Drosophila melanogaster: one gene and its partners. The protein of the gene in region 1 purifies or fractionates together with the protein of each later gene. This does not show direct contact. Each region holds a gene or a part of one and is shown on either strand. Other genes may lie near its edges.

The links.
Region 2: the proteins of Cyp4ae1 (region 1) and pps purify together in Drosophila melanogaster (affinity purification with mass spectrometry, with the first as the bait; one large-scale study listed by BioGRID). This does not show direct contact.
Region 3: the proteins of Cyp4ae1 (region 1) and CG30344 purify together in Drosophila melanogaster (affinity purification with mass spectrometry, with the first as the bait; one large-scale study listed by BioGRID). This does not show direct contact.

What each region holds. Positions count from the first base shown.
Region 1 is NC_004354.4:2,177,181-2,181,501, reverse strand, and holds Cyp4ae1 (cytochrome P450 4ae1), read right to left. Parts: upstream 2,496-4,321; 5' UTR 2,406-2,495; coding exon 2,240-2,405; exon of another isoform or gene 2,186-2,239; coding exon 1,732-2,185; intron 1,694-1,731; exon of another isoform or gene 1,677-1,693; coding exon 1,144-1,676; intron 1,112-1,143; exon of another isoform or gene 1,083-1,111; coding exon 745-1,082; 3' UTR 504-744; downstream 1-503. Other genes in the region: pn (prune), read right to left, coding at 1-86, 155-202; Cyp4d2 (cytochrome P450 4d2), read right to left, coding at 2,834-3,165, 3,222-3,781, 3,839-3,908, 3,965-4,321. UniProt on the Drosophila melanogaster protein: May be involved in the metabolism of insect hormones and in the breakdown of synthetic insecticides.
Region 2 is NT_033777.3:12,411,866-12,419,874, forward strand, and holds the start of pps (protein partner of snf), read left to right. Parts: upstream 1-1,962; 5' UTR 1,963-2,291; coding exon 2,292-2,421; intron 2,422-2,486; coding exon 2,487-2,891; intron 2,892-3,005; coding exon 3,006-4,723; intron 4,724-4,782; coding exon 4,783-5,264; intron 5,265-5,352; coding exon 5,353-5,527; intron 5,528-5,582; coding exon 5,583-6,110; intron 6,111-6,175; coding exon 6,176-8,009. Other genes in the region: Dip-C (dipeptidase C), read right to left, coding at 43-1,518.
Region 3 is NT_033778.4:9,143,457-9,149,059, forward strand, and holds CG30344 (uncharacterized protein), read left to right. Parts: upstream 1-1,803; 5' UTR 1,804-2,130; coding exon 2,131-2,335; intron 2,336-2,403; coding exon 2,404-2,516; intron 2,517-3,189; coding exon 3,190-3,340; intron 3,341-3,406; coding exon 3,407-3,590; intron 3,591-3,658; coding exon 3,659-3,845; intron 3,846-3,906; coding exon 3,907-4,042; intron 4,043-4,093; coding exon 4,094-4,420; intron 4,421-4,482; coding exon 4,483-4,639; intron 4,640-4,696; coding exon 4,697-4,760; 3' UTR 4,761-5,056; downstream 5,057-5,603. Other genes in the region: shrb (shrub), read right to left, coding at 164-341; Prp38 (pre-mRNA processing factor 38), read left to right, coding at 672-1,664; CG30345 (uncharacterized protein), read left to right, coding at 5,371-5,542.

The DNA of each region.
Region 1 (4,321 bases):
GATTCGTTGCCCATTACCAGATGTAATTTCCGGCCGGAAACGTCGGGAGCAGCAGCCCAGGCAACTGGTGAGGCCTCCGCCAGATGCTGCGCGAGAAGAGAAACCCTATTAGTGCTTGACCTTCTCACTTCTGGTGCTCTTTCAGAATTCTCACCCGTCCCAAGGTGCCCCTGGCCTGGGCCAAAAATCGTAGAAAGCACATTTGTTAGGGAAATCTCGGAAAAGCTGGGAAAACAAACGGCTGATAGCTTCCATATATTTCAACAGTTGCGCGTATCGATTCGATGTGACATTTATCGATTGATCAGCGCGAAACTGAAATAAATAAATTACAAAGATAATGCTTTAATGTATATAAATACATATATAATGCATTTGTTTGTAACGCAGTAATGTAATCTGTGGTCGCTCGTTTACTAAGCTTAATCACATTAATTGGGTTTATTCCACATTCTGTGCTTTCAGCTGATCCCATTTAGCTGATAAGGCAGCGCATCCATTTTGGTTTGACTTCTGCTGTATATGTGATGTATAAGCACTTGTATTTATATTGAATTCCTGGTATTAGTTTAGACATTTAAATTTGAACTAATTTCTATCACTTTTTGGCGGTGAAAAACTACACCTGCCCATCACTGCGCCAGCTGATTGCAGTTTGCTGTTATCGATAGCGATAAGCAGATTCAAGCTGTCTGGCGCCAGCTGATCCTAAATCCTTTGTTTTTATTCTTGACTCCCAGATTTTCAATACAACCGCGGCCGCAGCCCAACATTTACCCCGCTCTTGGAGCGCAGCACTATTTTAATGGATGGCTCCACATCGGCTCCCATTGGAAGCAGCTGGTAGTGGCGTATCACTTTGGTCACCATGGTTTTCATCTCCAGCAGAGCAAACTTTTGACCAATGCAGTTCCTCGGCCCAGCGGAGAAAGGTATGTAGCTGTAGGGACTCAGTCTGGGTGCCTCTTCTCCTAGATGCCTCTCCGGCTGGAAGACCAGTGGATCGGTGAAGATCGCTTCATCCCGGAGGAGCTGCCAGAGAAGTACGACCACGTTGGTTCCCACAGGGATGTAGCCCTCATCTGGTGTAGATTGACGTAGATTGACTTAGGTGAGTCTTAAATTCTCAGACCTTACACTCACCTATAACCAAATCCTTTTCCAGGCAGCGTGCGACGGCCGGAATAGGCGGATAAAGACGCAGGGACTCTTTGACCACGCAGCTTAGATACGGTAACGTCGCGAAATCCGAGAGAATAACGCCTCTGAATAAATCCTGGCCGTAGTGCATCCTCAGTTCCTCAAAAAGCTTTTGTTGCACTGCCTCATGGCGGGAAAGCAGATACAAACAGAAGGAAACCGCTGAAGTCGTCGTATCGTGACCCTCAAAGATGAAAGTGTTCACTTCATCGCGAATTTGCTTGTCAGTCAATGGTTGCCCATCCACAGTTGCCCGCAGGAGCGTGTCCAGCAGGGCGTGGGGCTTTGTTGGCTTATCTTGATTAGCCTCCCTGGCCAGTAAACGGCGTCGCTGCTCTATAATTCCGTTGGTAAACTCATGGAGGCAGATGACTCCTGCCTGTTGCTTTCTGAATCCGCTGGGCCAGCACAGGCGAAAGAGGTGGGGAAAGAGGAGATGCGGCCTCATGAACCTGGTGGCCAAGATGTTGGTTAGACTAAAGAAAGATAAACGGTAAGAAAAAATGTCAGTTAGAACATATTACAACCTACTCTTTTACAGCGTGCACCACCTCAGAGTCAGCTCCTTGAGCGTCCACGTTCACGCCCATAGCAGTTTCGGTGATTATGTCTAGGGCAGCCAAGCCCACCAAGGGATAGATGTTCACGACCTCGTTGCCGTACGACAGCGTTCTCAAACGCTCCACTAATATGCTGCTCTGCCTATCGAAGACCTCGACAAACTGCTCCAGGATGCTAAAGTGAAACGTGGGCGTGATGATTTTGCGCATCGTGTGCCACTCCTTTCCACGACTCAGCAGCAGTCCATCGCCCAGCCAACCGCGTAAGGCAAAGTACATCGTGCCCTTCTTCAACTGATGCTGACCCTGCAGCAGTGCATCGATATGTCGGGGCTCCGCTGTAACCATAACCACATGGCCTAAGACAGTGCCCATGAAACTGCGACCAAAACGCTTAACATACTCGGCGAACTTATCATGCAAGTCTGGAATTTAATAGAGTAAATATCAAATATTGAAGAGTTCAAACGGGAACTTACTGTCTGGCTGAAAACTCCGCATCTGCCAGGCGGCTCCTAGTAGAGGAACTCTCGAAACACTTGGCACAACGCCTTGCAAAGGATGTCGAAGCTCCTTTAGCGCCAAACGGAACAGCGAGGCCACTAGGCGAGTCACCAGGAGGGCCACCAACAAAACCACCAACATGTTGAAGCTTTGCTGCGTATCTTAAGGAGCACTTGGGCTCTCGAGTAGCTGGCAATCTTATCTGGAGCACTACAAATGTGTCGCCTATCTATATACAGGCACTTCGGATTTATTGCTCGTAGCTAAACTTTATATAAGCAAAACCTTTCGAATAGTGCACCACTTCGAAAGAGAAACAGTGCGGGACCACTAAGGTGAGCAGGACGGAAAATCCGAGGAAAACAACTAGCCAGCTGTTTTTCAGCAAGAACAGCTGATGGAATCAACCAAAACACAAAACATATGTACCTATGGTCATTCATATGCACATGTATGTATTGTTGAGAGTATTAAGATAATTACCCAACAGACAAAATAGTTAATTAAATACTTGTATACACGTTTATTCTATGCAAATAGAGCTGGATAGACCCACAAGAATGAATTCCTTAGGCGCGCGGTTTCAGGCCAAGATGAACGCCGTTGGCCGACCGCAGGACGATGTTCATCGAGTGGCGGGGCTCAGGACCCAAGGGCAGCAGCTCGAAGTGCCGGAGCAGCTTGCTGACGGTGCTCTTCATTTCCAGCATGGCAAACTTCTGGCCGATACAGTTTCTTGGTCCAGCGGAGAAAGGAATGTACGCATACGGATGAATCTGCGGGACATCCGCATCGAATCTTTCAGGTCGGAACTCATCGGGAGACTCGAAGTACTCAGGATCACGAAGAAGAACAAAGATGCCCATCGTAAAGTTGGTGCCTGCTGGAATATGCTTGCCACCTGACAAGAGCAATATGTTTACCTGAGATTGAAGAATCTCATATGGAACTTCTTACGTATTTCCACATCCTCGGCGAACCAGCGACCGATCATGGGCACTGGCGGGTGCAGGCGCAGCGACTCCTTAATTACGTTCTCCATAAACTTCAGCTCACCAAGATCACGAAGGGTAACTGGGCTCTTTCGATCCTCGCCGAGGACGTCGCGGATCTCCTGCTGCAGACGCTGTTGGACCTCCGGATGCCTTGAGATTTCATATAAACAGAATGAAATCGCCGAGGTAGTCGTGTCATGGCCCTCGAACATAAACGTGTCAACCTCTTCGCGGATATCCTCATCGCTCAACGGGGCGCCATCGATTGTGGACTGCAGCAGCACATCCAGCAGAGCCATCCGTCGCTTTTGGCCCAAGAAATTAACTTCCTCTTCTGGGGTTGTTTCCTTCGAGTTGTTAACCAGCGTTTCACGCCGCTCACGGATAATGTTCTCGGTAAAGTCGTGCATTACCTTGATAGCTTTGTCCTGGCGTTTAGCTTCTGTTGGCTGCGTTAGCCGGAAAATCCAGTCCACCCGCTGCCAAGCGTGGATAAAACGTTTAATCAAGATGTTGGTGACACTGTCACAAGGAAGAATTCATCAGAACTGTGGGGATTCGACCTATCATTACACTCACTCATTGACAGCCTGGACATAGGGCAGATTGGGATTTTTTTGGGCATTGATTTTTGTGCCCATTGCAGTTTCTAAACGGCGAGTATTAAGCTGTTATAAATATTTATAAGACTAATGGCAAACTCACCTGCGATTATATCCAGGGCAGTGAGACAAATCACCGGAAAGATGTTAATGGGAGTCATGCCGTCGGCGCGCGACTGAAGCTGCTCCACCATTACGGCGCTTTGTTGGTCGAATATCTCGACGAACTGTTCCAAAATCTTGAAGTGGAAGGTGGGCGTGATGATCTTTCTGCGTCCATGCCACTTCCTGCCCGTGCTCATCAGCAATCCATCGCCCAGCCAGCAGTTAAGTAGCTTGTACAGATTATTCTTGGTTATATGCTGCTGGCTGCTCAAGACGAACTCAATGTCTCGGGGATCCGTGGAGAAGACGGCCAACTGGTGGAGAATCCACACCCTGTAAAGGCGACCGTACTTGC
Region 2 (8,009 bases), on another chromosome or scaffold:
TTATATTACATATGTTTACGCGTGGAATATAGTTTAAAAGCTCTAAACCGGCGAATCATATTTACAGGTCATGGTTGCCTCGATGTCCTCCACCGTTCGCGGCACAATCGCAAAGTTCTCCACGCCAGTCTTCGTGATGAGCACATCGTCCTCGATGCGCACACCTCCGAAATTCCGGAAGCGATTGAACATCTCTGCGTTAATGAATTTAGCAATGTTCGGATCGGCCAGAGCGCGGTCCATCAGCCAGTTGATGAAGTAGCAGCCGGGTTCGATTGTGACATACATGCCGGCCTTAAGGATGCGGGCAAAGCGCAGCTTGCTCAGCCACGGTTCACTGGGGCGCTTGGGCTCCTTGGGCAGATAGCCGCCCACGTCGTGCACATCCAGACCGATCAAGTGGCCCAGGCCATGTGGCTGGAACACGCCCGAAACACCTGCCTCGAGCATCTCCTCCACATCGCCCTTGAGCATGCCGCCCTCCTTCAGGCGCTGCAGCAACACCCTGCCCGCCAGCTTGTGCATGTCCACCCAGGAGACTCCGTCACGGGCTGACTCTGTGACCGCATTGCGGGCATCCAGCACGGCATTGTAGATGAACTTCTGGTCGTCGGTGAACTTTCCATTGGCCGGGAATGTGCAGGTTATGTCGGCCGCATAGCCACAATAGTTGGCTCCCATATCGAACAGGCAGAGATCACCATCCTGGACGGGCTTGCTGTTGGGTGCGCCCGCGTGTCCATAGTGCAAGATCGACGAGTTCGTTCCGCTGCCGCATATGCAGGTGTAGGAGGCATGCCGGCAGCCGCCCACGGAGTAGGCGTGGTGCAGGAACAGGGATTCGCCCTCAAATTCCATTCTACCGGGACGCATAAACCGCATCACCTTGATGTGCGCGTCCGAGGATACCTTGGCCACGTAGCGCAGCACCTCGATCTCTTCGGGTGACTTGATCACTCGGCACTCAGAGAGAATTGGATACAGCAGATTGCAGTCAGTCACATACTTCTCCTTGCCAGCAAAGTCGGGCGGCTGAAGGGTGAGCCCGCTATCGCTGTTGGTGCCACTCAATGTGAGTATCAGCTTGGGCGACGCCCCCTCCAGATAAACACTCATTTCGTCAACATAAAACACCTCGTCCACCTCGTACATGGCCTTGAACTCCTGCAGCCCAAGCAGTTCGCCCATCCAGGTGCCGTACTCATCGGGAAAGCGAGGAACAAAGAGAACACTTTTCTGTGCACCAGTTTTCACATCAATGGTTAGGATGCCGTAGCAGCCCGGCTCCTTGACACCGAACAAGTACTGGAAATAGGACTCCTGCCGGAAAACGTAGTCCACGTCGGTGTTGTACAGGCTCTGGTCCTTGCCGCCCTCGAGGAGCACCAGCAGGTTGCCGTCGTTGAACTTGAGGCCCGGCAGCAGCTCCTTAAGGATGGCCTTGCCAGCACGATCCCTGTTGTTCCGGAAGAGGGTCATGGGCACTGCGTAACCCGATCCCATCTGAAAGGCGGCCATGGTGTTGCGACGGAGGACAAAGTTTAACTGGCGCTCTGGACAACAATGAGTGCTCGAGCAAGTGAGATTAGCTGATAATAGCCAATAACCGGGCTAACAAAGGCAGTAAATTATGTGGGTTTTATCAGTGTTTTTTGTTTTCTGTTTTCGCAAAAGTATGACCGAGAACTGAACGCGAAAAAAAACAAGCTTAAATTACAATTCATCGATCGGGAATTTTATTTTTTTAAATATATTCTTTAATATTTTTAATTAGCTCAATTCATTTATTTATCATACGGTTTTCCTTTTTGGCAGCCGACCTTGAAAATAAAGGATTTCCCTAAATAAACACAGATTAACATTTTGTTCAAATGAGCTAGCAATTGAAACTAGTTCCGCAGAGCGAGGCACAGAAACTATCGATAACCTACAGCATCGGCATCATTCCCAAGTCTGGTCACACTGGAAGTGGCTTTTTTTGCAAATTTTATTTTCATAATTGAGAAAAATTTGCATTTTAAAGCGAAACAGCAACGGATTAAGCTCTCGAATCTCAACAATATAACAGCCAGCTTGTGGGCGCAGCCAGCAGAGCATCACCAGTATTAAGTATAGGGCGAACGCAGCCCAGTGACCGTTTTCCACCTACTATCCAATTTCAATGTCGGCGTCACAACGCGGCGGATGCAACAACAAATGAGTCGTTGTTCTGTTCCAAGCTAATTAAGTACACGCTGTGTGGGCCGCCGACTCCAATGCGCCGCTAGCGGGGATCACGAGCAGTTGGCGTCATGTCCAGTTCGGTGTTTACGGAGGCGCCCAGCGCCCGGCCGGCGGCAGCCGAAGCCGACTCCAATCTGGTTGTGGTCTACAGCAAGAGCGGAATCTCCTTCGACGAGCGTGCGATTGGGAACATCATGGGTAAGTGGGTCCAATAGGCCTGACACACGCTCATTGCTCCCCACACTGACATGGGCTTGTTGCAGAGGAAAAATCGATTTCCACCATTAGCGTGGTGCGGATTACATCGCCCACGCCGAGCATGGTGGACCAAGAGGAAGACGAACGGCTGGAGGAGCTGGCGAACTTTATGGAAACTGCCACCGACTCGGAGCTGGACAGTGACAATGGCAGCCAAAGTGGTGGCGATAATGCCAGTGAGATGGATGAACACGACGAGGAGAACCATAACACCGGTGACGACAACAATAGCGACTCCACGGAGACGGAAGCCGATGCCCCGCGCACACGCAAGCGAGTTGGCCGAAAGCCCAAGGCCATCAAAAAGCGAAAGCGACGCAAACCCAAGGAGCGTCCACAAATTGTGGGTTTGCGAGTGGAGCAGTTTTATGCGGACAACACGGCTGATATGGTTGTGAAAAATGCACTGAGTAAATAACGTACATCGATGTGGTCCAAATGATAAAGCAAAACAACATCATTATTTCGAGCACAACGAAAGTAAACGAACTTTAGCTTTCAACTAATTTGTATTCTATTTACAGAGCTTGCCGGAGTTTCCGTCTACAAAAGGACTGCGGAGACAGACGCTCTTATGGAAGTTATTCGAAATGACCACAACTACACACCGTTTACCTCGCCAGAGCAGCTGAAGAACCACAAGCGCGATGAGAAGATGGCCATGGAAATGCAGGCCCAAAGCCGCAAAATCATAATGCAGGCACCGGGCAGTGTCAAGCTAATCAATGCCAAAAAACGAGTCCAGGCCATACCCTTAAGCCCGGTGCAGGTCAAGGTCCAGAGACTGCCAGTCAAGCCCCACCAAGTTCAGCAGGCAGCGCAGCTGCAACCGAAAGTGCAGCTGATCCGCAAGCCCATCCATTCGCCACTGCCAAGACAGAAGCCAGAGATTATCGCGAACAATTCGGTCAATGCCAGGCTGAGGCCCACTCGTGCTCCAGTCAAAGTGATTGCTCCGCCTGTGCAGGAATACATCGAAGATGATGATGACGCCCAAAGCTCGGATTCCGCCGAAGAGGAAAATGCCGACAAGGCCTATGATTCGGAGGAAATGAGTGAGGAGAGCGATGAGTTCCAGGAATCGGACAACGACAGGGACAGTGACATGGACTTCGATATGAGGCATAGCAATAGACGTAATCCGAATAAGAGGAAGCGGGTTAGAAAGGTGGTTAGGCAGACTCCCAGCAAACCAATGAAGCCGCTGCCTCCGCCACCCACAACGCCGCAGCACTTCCCCGAGCTGAAGAAACGCAAGGAAGTTTTGGAGCCGAAGGCGCCGCAAATTGGGCAAATAATCCAGATGCCTGCCACAAAATCAGTGCCCGCAGTGTTTGCCCTAGGCAGAGGTCTTCCAAGCACATCGTTTCTCAAAATCCGGCCCACACATCAATCGCTGCCTGTGAAGAGACCTCCACTGCCAACGACACCGGCCAATTCCAATGTTCGTCGTATGCCTGCCGTGCAATTGGGAAGGATCGTAAACTCGCCGCAGGAAGTTAAAGAGATTATTATCAACAAGAATATGGCCAGTCCCAAAGGAGTGTTTACCAATCTCAACACTTTGCTGGGTGAGGACAACAATGCAGCCACAAAATCTTCGCCAGTTCCACTCCGACACCGGGCCGTCATGTCGCCAAGCACGCCGAGATCGAGCTACAATCAGCAGATGTCGCCAATTGTGGTTCCGGTTCCTGCTCAGGCACATACCCCATCCAAGGGCTTCATGCCCATCGGCGTGGACACAGCTCAGTCGCATAAACTGCCCGCCCAAATAGTAATCGAGACGCACCAGAGTTCCTCCGAGCTGGCAGCAGAAAATGACAAGCAGCTCGATCTGATCAACTCGATTGTGCAGGACGAGCTACTTAAGTCCACGCTTGTGGAGCAGCCGGTAGTAAATGCGGACGAGGATATACCGAAACTGGTTAAGATGCTGGAGAGTACAGCGGCGGATCTAGATCCGCCACCAGTGTCCTTGCCTACGAATATTTTTCCAGCTCCCGAGATGCAGGGAGTGGGAAATGCAGCTGCAGCCGATCCGAATAATATAATGGATACGGCGAATGAGGATGAGATTACAGCTGATTTTCTCCAGCACGTGGTCGGTCTCATCGAGGAGGACAAACAGTTTGAGGCCGAGGTGGTTAAGCAAGTATTGGCTAGTACAGAGCCCGGAACCCTGGACGCCATCGTATCTATGCCTACGTCCATTGAGCCCGTAGACGTGCCGCAAGTACAGGCAAGTGTAGAATATCCTGGTTATTGATTTTGCTAGCTAACTGCATTGCTCCTTTACAGGCACACACGAACCTACTGCCGAATGCAAGTCTTACGGAGCCCGCACAATCGATGACCTCATTGCCGATTGCCTGCAGTACACCCTCGAGGAGCGTGGCAGCAAGCACTCCGCCCACCTCCGCGAAGGTTGTGCGCGGCTACGGTCGGGTCATATACCTGCCTCCCATTGAAGCCCCCACCACGCGGGCCAAGCGACGAGCACAGTTTCCTTCAGCTCCGGGCATGGCTGCGACCAGTTCCAGTGATGCAGGCAACCTGTCGTTTGGTGAATCTTCGTTGGATGCGAGCATCAATCAGCCGCTCAATACCAGCAGCCTGAGCAATGACAGCCAGCCGGGAAGTGGGCCGAAACGACCCAATCCTAGAGAGCCATCGATGGCCAGACGTTCAACGGCACCCAGAAGATCAAAGAAGCTTGATGCAAGTCAGAACAATGATCCCGACGCTTCAGAGTCTCAGGAGGATGACGATGACCCCAACAAGTAAGATTATAGTTGGATATTTCATAGATGCAAATCTGTGCGTTTGTTGAAAACCTTTTTTGTTTTTTTTTTTTTTTTTTTGGTTTAGGCTCTGGTGCATTTGTCGTCAGCCACACAACAATCGTTTCATGATCTGCTGCGATTTGTGCGAGGATTGGTTCCACGGCACATGCGTGGGGGTGACCAAGGCGATGGGCACAGATATGGAAAACAAGGGCATCGACTGGAAGTGCCCCAAATGCGTTAAAAGGCAGGAGGAGAGGGTAAAGTCATACAATAGACATAAAGTTACCTTTTATTGATTCGTTATCTTTGTAGAGCCAACCACGAATAACAGACATGTTGGTCACCAGACCAACCACTCAACCTGAGCAGAGGCCGAGTGAAACCAAAGTACTAACTACGACAGCAGAAATTGTTCAGGTCGCGGCTCCTTCGGCTCCCAGAAGAACACTACCGGTGGTCTTAACTGTAGCCAGTTCCCCCATGCGTATTCCAATGGCAAAGCCGGCCAAAAAGTTCCCAACCGGTGCAATCTCTCACCAGCAGCAGCAGCAGCTGAACTTTATCAGACTGGGCCCATCACCTGGCAAACGAATTTCGGAGACGTTATGTGTGGTCTGCAAGCGACCGGCGAGCACCTCTTCCGTCTATTGTGGCGAAGAGTGCATCCGGAAGTATGCCCAAAGTGCAATTCAAGCACATGCTGCTACCAAAGGCCCATTGCCACAGAATGCCGGTGCTCAGTCTTTGCTGAACAACTCCTTCGATGCCAAAAAGAACAAGAAGAAGGACTTGTTTGAGGACGTGCTGAGGCAAGCGGACACTGTGTCAAAAGTGGAACGGGTATGCAATAAAGGTTAATTTAATTAGAACTATACAACAAATAATGTGCACACTTTGCTTTGCAGATTAATGTGTTTGAGCGTAAAAGTGGTCGGGTTATCACCGGGCACATGGCCCCTTCTGCACATCAGTTTCGGAAATGGCTTCAGGAGAATCCCTCCTTCGAGGTGCTGCCCTCAGGAACCGTTCAGTCAGCCGACGCAGAGAAGCGTTTGCTGAAAGGGGCACCGGAAGCCGCCACCTCAACTTCAGAACCCGCCGTGCTAGGAGTTGCAAAAAAGCCACCTGAAGGTCCTGCCAAATTGTCCCATCCCCAAAACACCACAGTTCAGGCAAGCCACCAACTTGGAATCTCTTCCGTGCGTCCTTTGGCCAAAAAGGATAAAGAGAAGACAACACCTACAGTACAGGCGCCAACCCCTAATCGTATCGCAGCGGGCAAACCCGAGCCGGTTCGAATCGGCATCCGGCGATCACTCAGGGAGCAACTACTAGCGCGAATCAAAGAAGCTCAGGCTGCCGAGGAGAACTCTGGCCAGCCAACGACTCAGTGGCCGACCGTACTTGAGGTGGATCAGTTTGTCAAGAACGTGGAGCTGGAAATGTTCAACTCGTTTGGCCGAGACGTGGGAGCCAAGTACAAGGCCAAGTATCGATCGCTTATGTTCAACATAAAGGATCGCAAGAACCGAACGCTTTTCGAAAAGATTTGTGCCAAGCAAGTGGAGCCCAGGCAGTTGGTGCGGATGACGCCGGAACAGCTGGCCAGCCAAGAGTTGGCCAAGTGGCGGGAGGAGGAAAACCGTCACCAGTTGGATATGATCAAGAAATCGGAGCTGGACTTGTTGGCATGTGCCCAAAACTATGTGGTGAAAACACACAAGGGAGAGGAGGTAATCGCCACCAAAGTGGATGTTACGCTGCCCGAAGAGAACGTTAGTGAAGCATCATCTATGGCGGACACAAAACAGACGTCGCTGGTCAGTGAGCCGTCTACCTCCACACTGGAACGTTCCACGTCCAGGGAAAAGGCGGGTTCATCGAAGGAAAAGCGACACAAGAGCCACAAGCATCATCATCGAAAGCGCAGTCGAAGTCGTTCCAATAGTCGGGGTCGAAGCGTCGATAAGCGCCATCGCAGGCAGCACAACGAAGGAGGAGAGCAGCCAGGCAGCGGGGAGCGTGAGCATAGATCGCGTGAGAAACAGAGCCGGGAAAGGGATGAGATCGTTCCATCACCCTTGCCCAAGAAGAGGGACGAAAACGACCAATCGCCGGTACCCAAAAAGACGGCGGAAAAGAAAACCGAGGCGAGTGCTTACAACTTGGTTGATCAAATTCTGGAATCGGAGAAAACAGTCGAGCAGGCGGCGAATCTAGGCAAACCAAAGCCGTCACCCAAGCCACTTCCAACGCTTCCGAGTTCTTTGAAGGCACCTGAGCCAATGGACAACTACTCCCGCTACTTGCACGGCCTGACGACGAGTTCACTGTGGTCCGGTACTCTCAAGATGATCGATTTGGCCGACTTCGAAATCGTCATGTACCCCGTGCAGGGTAACTGCCATCAATTGGGTAACCTGATGCCAAGTCAGATGGACGTAATCGGTCGCATAACCCGCGTTAATGTCTGGGAATATATCAAGAAGCTAAAGAAGAGTCCCACAAAGGAAGTGGTCATTGTGAACATATTCCCCGCCTCGCCCAGCGAAACGTATAAGTTTGATCTCTTCTTCGAATACCTGGACTCGCGTCAGCGTCTGGGCGTCCTGGGCGTGGACTCGGATCAGATACGCGACTTTTACATATTCCCCTTGGGTAGCGGCGATAAGTTGCCACCAGCGCTGCAGACCGCGGAGCCAGTTCCCTTCTACGAAGAAGCGCAAAGACCCAACACGC
Region 3 (5,603 bases), on another chromosome or scaffold:
ACATATTGTTTATTGAGTTTTCTATTTGCTGGCAGTATGGGATACTGATTAACTGGGAGCAGGCCTCGCGGCCGCAACAAAAACAAAGCAATGAGTCATTTCCCCTTGGCCCATTTGAGTGACCAACTAGGAAGCCAAGGACCTCGGCGCACTCCTCTCATACCTCTTTTGTTTTTAGACGCATTCTTGCGGGCTATATTCAGTTCGTCCTCGATCTTGGCCTCCAGGAACTCCTGCTTTTTGATAAGCATGTTCTCCGTCTCGCGCAGCTTCTGTATCGCCTCGCCGGTGGTGGGGGCCACTTCCTTCTTGCCGCCGAACATCTTCCCGAAGAAACTCATCCTGGCTGATCTGTTTTTTCACCCGAATTTAGCGAACAAGTGAGTTTTTTTCTGCTATTGCGTTTCTTGGTTGTCTGGGAGCTGTTGTTCGTATGCGTCACCCGATACCGATTGCCGTCCCCTATCGTTATCGCCTTTGTGTATGCGCTTGGCGGAGTGGCATATTTCTCCCTTACGCAGCTGGCCACTCTGGTTAGCAAACGCCGAAAAATAAATAAATATATTCGGTGCATTTTCACATTTTGCACTGCTGCCAATAGATACCCGAATTTCTGGATTGAAAAGTCCTATTTGAGTTACGATTGACAAGGAACAAGGGTTCAACTGAAAATGGCCAACCGCACGGTGAAGGAGGCCAAAAACGTGCACGGCACCAATCCGCAGTACCTCATCGAGAAGATCATCCGTTCGAGGATATACGACTCTAAGTACTGGAAGGAGCAATGCTTTGCTCTCACTGCGGAGCTTCTGGTGGACAAGGCAATGGAGCTGCGATTCGTCGGAGGCGTCTACGGCGGCAACATCAAGCCCACCCAGTTCCTCTGCCTCACACTCAAGATGCTGCAGATTCAGCCGGAAAAGGACATCGTAGTGGAGTTTATCAAGAACGAGGAGTTCAAGTACGTTCGAGCATTGGGAGCCTTCTATCTACGGCTCACAGGAGCTGCCCTGGACTGCTACAAGTACCTGGAGCCGTTGTACATAGACAATCGAAAGCTGCGCCGCCAGAATCGCGCCGGCCAGTTCGAGATTGTCTACATGGATGAGTACATTGACGAACTGCTGCGCAACGACCGTGTCTGCGACATTATACTGCCCCGCATCCAGAAGCGCTCCATTCTCGAGGAAAACAACGAAATCGAGCCCAAGGTGTCAGTGCTGGATGAGGACTTGGACGACGAACTGCCCAGCGACGAGGAGAAGGCAGACGAGACCAACCGGCCTAAGGAGAATTCGACAGCAGTGAGACGACCACGGAGAGTTCGCTCCAAGTCAAGGTCCCGCAGTCGGGAGCGCGAGCGAAGATCTGGGCAGGGCAACAGCGCCCGTTCCCGGGATTACTACGACGAACTGGAAGACTACGACCGCCAGCGAAATAGGGTGCGCAATCGGGACACCCACAACGAGGACTATGACCGTCGGCAAAACAATGGACGCCACGATCGCGAACGAGAGCGCCAAGATCGCGACAGTATCAGGGAGCGCGAGAGGGACGGCGACAGAGATCGCCGGGATAGGGAACGAGAGCGAGAACGTGACCGTGGCCGTCACGACCAGCGGGAACGGGACTCGCGAGGAGAGCGTGACCGACGACGCTACTAAAATTATAAATAAATTGAATTAATTAACCAGTAAAAAGTGTCAGAAAATTTAAACCACAAACTCTCAATTCGCCGCAAGTTGGCATCCCTAGCACTAAGAATCGAAAATCGAAATCAAAACAATAACACAGAAGAAGAAGAAGTCAATCAGCTGTTGCTGCTTGCATTTAGAAAGTTTCGAATAGAGTAACGTTAACTGCGGGAGAATCCAGCCAGCTGTACTTGTGAAAATAATACACGTACCAGGGATTTAAGCAACAATAAATCCACGTTAATCAGCAGTAAAGCAGCTGAAGCTTTAGTATCTGAAAACTCTCCGTCGCGTTTGGAAGACTTTCAGGGAACTGCGCAGCGTTCTGGTGAATGAATTGTAAATTCCATTATCTCCGGTAGACTGGTGTAAGCCAGACGCATCCACGAGTTCCGTTCTCGATAGCGAGCAAGTAGGAACGGAACGGAACGGCAGTATGCCTCGCTCTGATACGGAGGCTTTGGTGGCCGATGTGGAGACTGGCGAAGATTCGGCACCACGCATACTGGACGCATCATCTGCGGCCAGCAGTGAGCAGGTGGACCCGCCTCCGGTACCGCCGCCTCATGACTACAGCAGCTATCGCTGGTTCATCCTGGAGCCCGCAGTTTTTTTAATCTTCTTCGCCAGAAATTTAATTGGTATAATGGCTATAGGGCAGTAAAACCGATTGGATTGCATCATTGAATTAACTTTGTGTGCGTTTTAGGGGCGGTTTATCAGAACCAAATTCTCTACCAAACCTGCATCACCATCGAGAAATTCAATGCCACGCAATGTGAACCGCTGCTGGGCATTGATCGCGGATCGGACGCGGATAAAGTAAGTATTTAATTTGACCCTTATAGTATACACATCATGTACAATTTGATATCTGTACTTTGTGTAGTTTCTGTTCTCGTTGCCTGGTTTTTATCTCTGTGCAAATTATTTTTGCTGCTTTGCTGGGCGTTTCGTGTTGTGATTTTATGGCGATGAGGAAAATGGCAATTTTAAACAAATTTATCCAGTAACTGTAAACAAAAACTGAAGTTTAAGTTACAAAAACTGCTGAACAATTTTAAAACCACAATTAATGTATCACAATATTAACTTGTTTTACGAGTAATTGCTACTATTATGACCTTTGCTGTATAGAACAATGTATTTCGCATTTGGCTCGCCGATATTCTTCCAAGACGTGACCTACTTAGTATATCTTACTATATCAGCATCCGACGTGACAAAGTAAAATCAAATTAGCAAATCGTCTCAACCTAATGCAAAACTGCCATTGTTTGGAGGCTAGAGATAAGGTAATTAGAACGCCAGTCGAGGCTTATCAACGGCCGGAATAGAAGTAAGCAAAATCCTTTGTTACTGCATTTCGAAGCAGTATCGAAGTATTTACTAGGAAAGCGTTAAAATTATAATTATACGTACGAGATATGGCACATTGACTCATCCACAGTTGTACAGTTGTGCAGTTTACTAAAGTGAACTTCTGTTTTTTCAGGAAGTCGAGGTGATAGTACAGACGTATTCTGCAAATATTATGATGACAACCTCTCTGCTAGAGAGCATTATTCCTGCCTTCGCGAGTCTGTTCCTGGGTCCCTGGTCCGACAAGTTCGGAAGGCGGCCAATCCTGCTGACAACTTTTACGGGTATATAATCATCAGTCAGGACATCTTAATTGCATCTTGTACAAATGACTCTTATTGTATTTAAAGGCTACCTCACTGGCGCACTCATACTGATAGTAATCACTTACATAACGAGGTCCACGAATATAAGTCCATGGTGGTTCCTCCTTTCCTCGGTTCCTTCCGTCGTAAGCGGCGGAACTTGCGCCTTGATTACTGGAATCTATTGCTACATATCCGATGTGGCCAAGGAGCGAAAGAAGGCTCTGAGGTGAGTATGGGTAGTCTTGATTTATTAATCCAAAGAATGCCATTTCATTTTGATATATTATTTGAAAGAATGGTCCTCAATGAAGCCTCCCTCTGTGCTGGCATAATGGTGGGCAATGTGGCCAGCGGTTATATCTATGCTGCCACAAATGCTCTGGTGTTGTTTTCCATTGCTGGTAGCCTGATGATGTTTGCCTTGATGTACGTGCTTCTGTTTGTACCTGAAAGCCTAAATCCAGGTGACATTCACACCGGAGTAAGTAATTTCTATAGCTAAGAAGAAACGAATATCTCAACACTCCTTCCCTCATTTTTAGTCGCGAGTCCGTGAGTTCTTCCGTTTCGATTTGGTCACGGACCTGATTCGCACCTGCTTTAAGAGGCGCCCCAACTTTGATCGCACAATCATCTGGCTTACAATGATTGCCCTTACGATAGCCATTTTCGACATGGGTAACATAATTCAAACTTAAGATTATATGAGTTAATTTATAATGATTTCAGAGGGAGAGAGCACTGTAAATTACATGTTCGTGCAGGATAAATTCAACTGGACCATTAAGGACTTCAGTCTATTCAACGCATCCCGCATCGTGATCCAGATTGTGGGCAGCATCGTTGGCATGTTGGTATTGCGCCGCGTTCTAAAGATGTCTATCGTAACCATGGCAATGCTCTCCCTGGCTTGCTGTGTTCTGGAGAGCACGGTTCGAGCCACAGCAGTCTACTGGCAAGAGCTGTATCTGGGCATGACGCTGGGTATGATGCGTGGCGTCATGGGACCTATGTGCCGCGCGATTCTCTCGCACGTTGCACCCGCGACTGAAGTTGGTACGTACCCAAAGTGTTTAGCCTGCAAATACCATTAACTAAAACCATATGAAATAATTTAGGCAAGATCTTTGCTCTGACCACCTCCATGGAATCGGTTTCGCCACTGGGCGCTGCACCTCTGTACACAACCGTCTACAAGGCAACTTTGGAAAATTATCCCGGAGCTTTCAACTTTATTAGCGCCGCTCTCTACTTTGTGTGTTACATTCTGATAGCGTAAGTCCTACCAAGCACAGTTCAAGTCCAGTTTAAAGCGAATACTTTTCAATACAGCGTGATCTTCGGCATCCAGAAGTCGATGGGTAGTAGCAGTGTCTACCAGGCCATTGGCAGCTAACAAACTCTCCAGAGCACCGATTTAGCTGAATGTATCTCATAAGTTAAATTCCTTCTGCAGGCGCTGCGAAGAGCTCTCGTTTTAAAAGATTAGAAACTATTTGTGTAAATTAATCTAGTGTTTGTACTCCTTGTATATTTTTGCAAGTATTATTATGATTTTGATCAGTGTATATGTATATATATACTATATCTGCTATTTGGACTGTGTTTTGCATGTGCAAGCATTGTAAAGTTAAGAACAAAAGATTTAACTGTTTGCAGTGTGACAATAAAGTGTGAATACATCGAGCATTCAATATCTTTGAGCATAAATCGAATGGGAATTGTGTGTCGCGATGTGAGGTTTCTCGAGAGGGAGCCGCTCGAGCGTTCGTGCGCAGATAGGGCGCAGCAAACGCTTTGGTTTGCTCAAATTGGCAATCGCTTGCTTTGTTTGTTTACGTCGTCTATTTCAGCTGCTCCCTCCAGTTAGTCTATCACTCGAGTTCGGCGCGCACAGATGTTTAACTCAGTTCCCGCTACGATATATTGCTTGGCTGAATGAATCGTTAATTCCTTTGTCTACACGATAATTGCTGCGATCACCGCGACCTTTACTGAACCACAAAATGCCGAGAGATGATGAGGAGCCAATTATTGGCGCTGATGATGAACCGCTGGACATCGAAGTGCGGTCGCCGCCACCCAGCAATAGGACATTCTCTAGCTGGCTAAAACGACCCCGCTCGCTTATTTTAGAGCCCGCCGTGTTTCTGGTTTTCTTTGGCAGATTCCTAACAGGTGTGTACATACATGTATGTGTTTACTGTGTTGTGGGGGCGTTTATAAATCAGATTGTTTA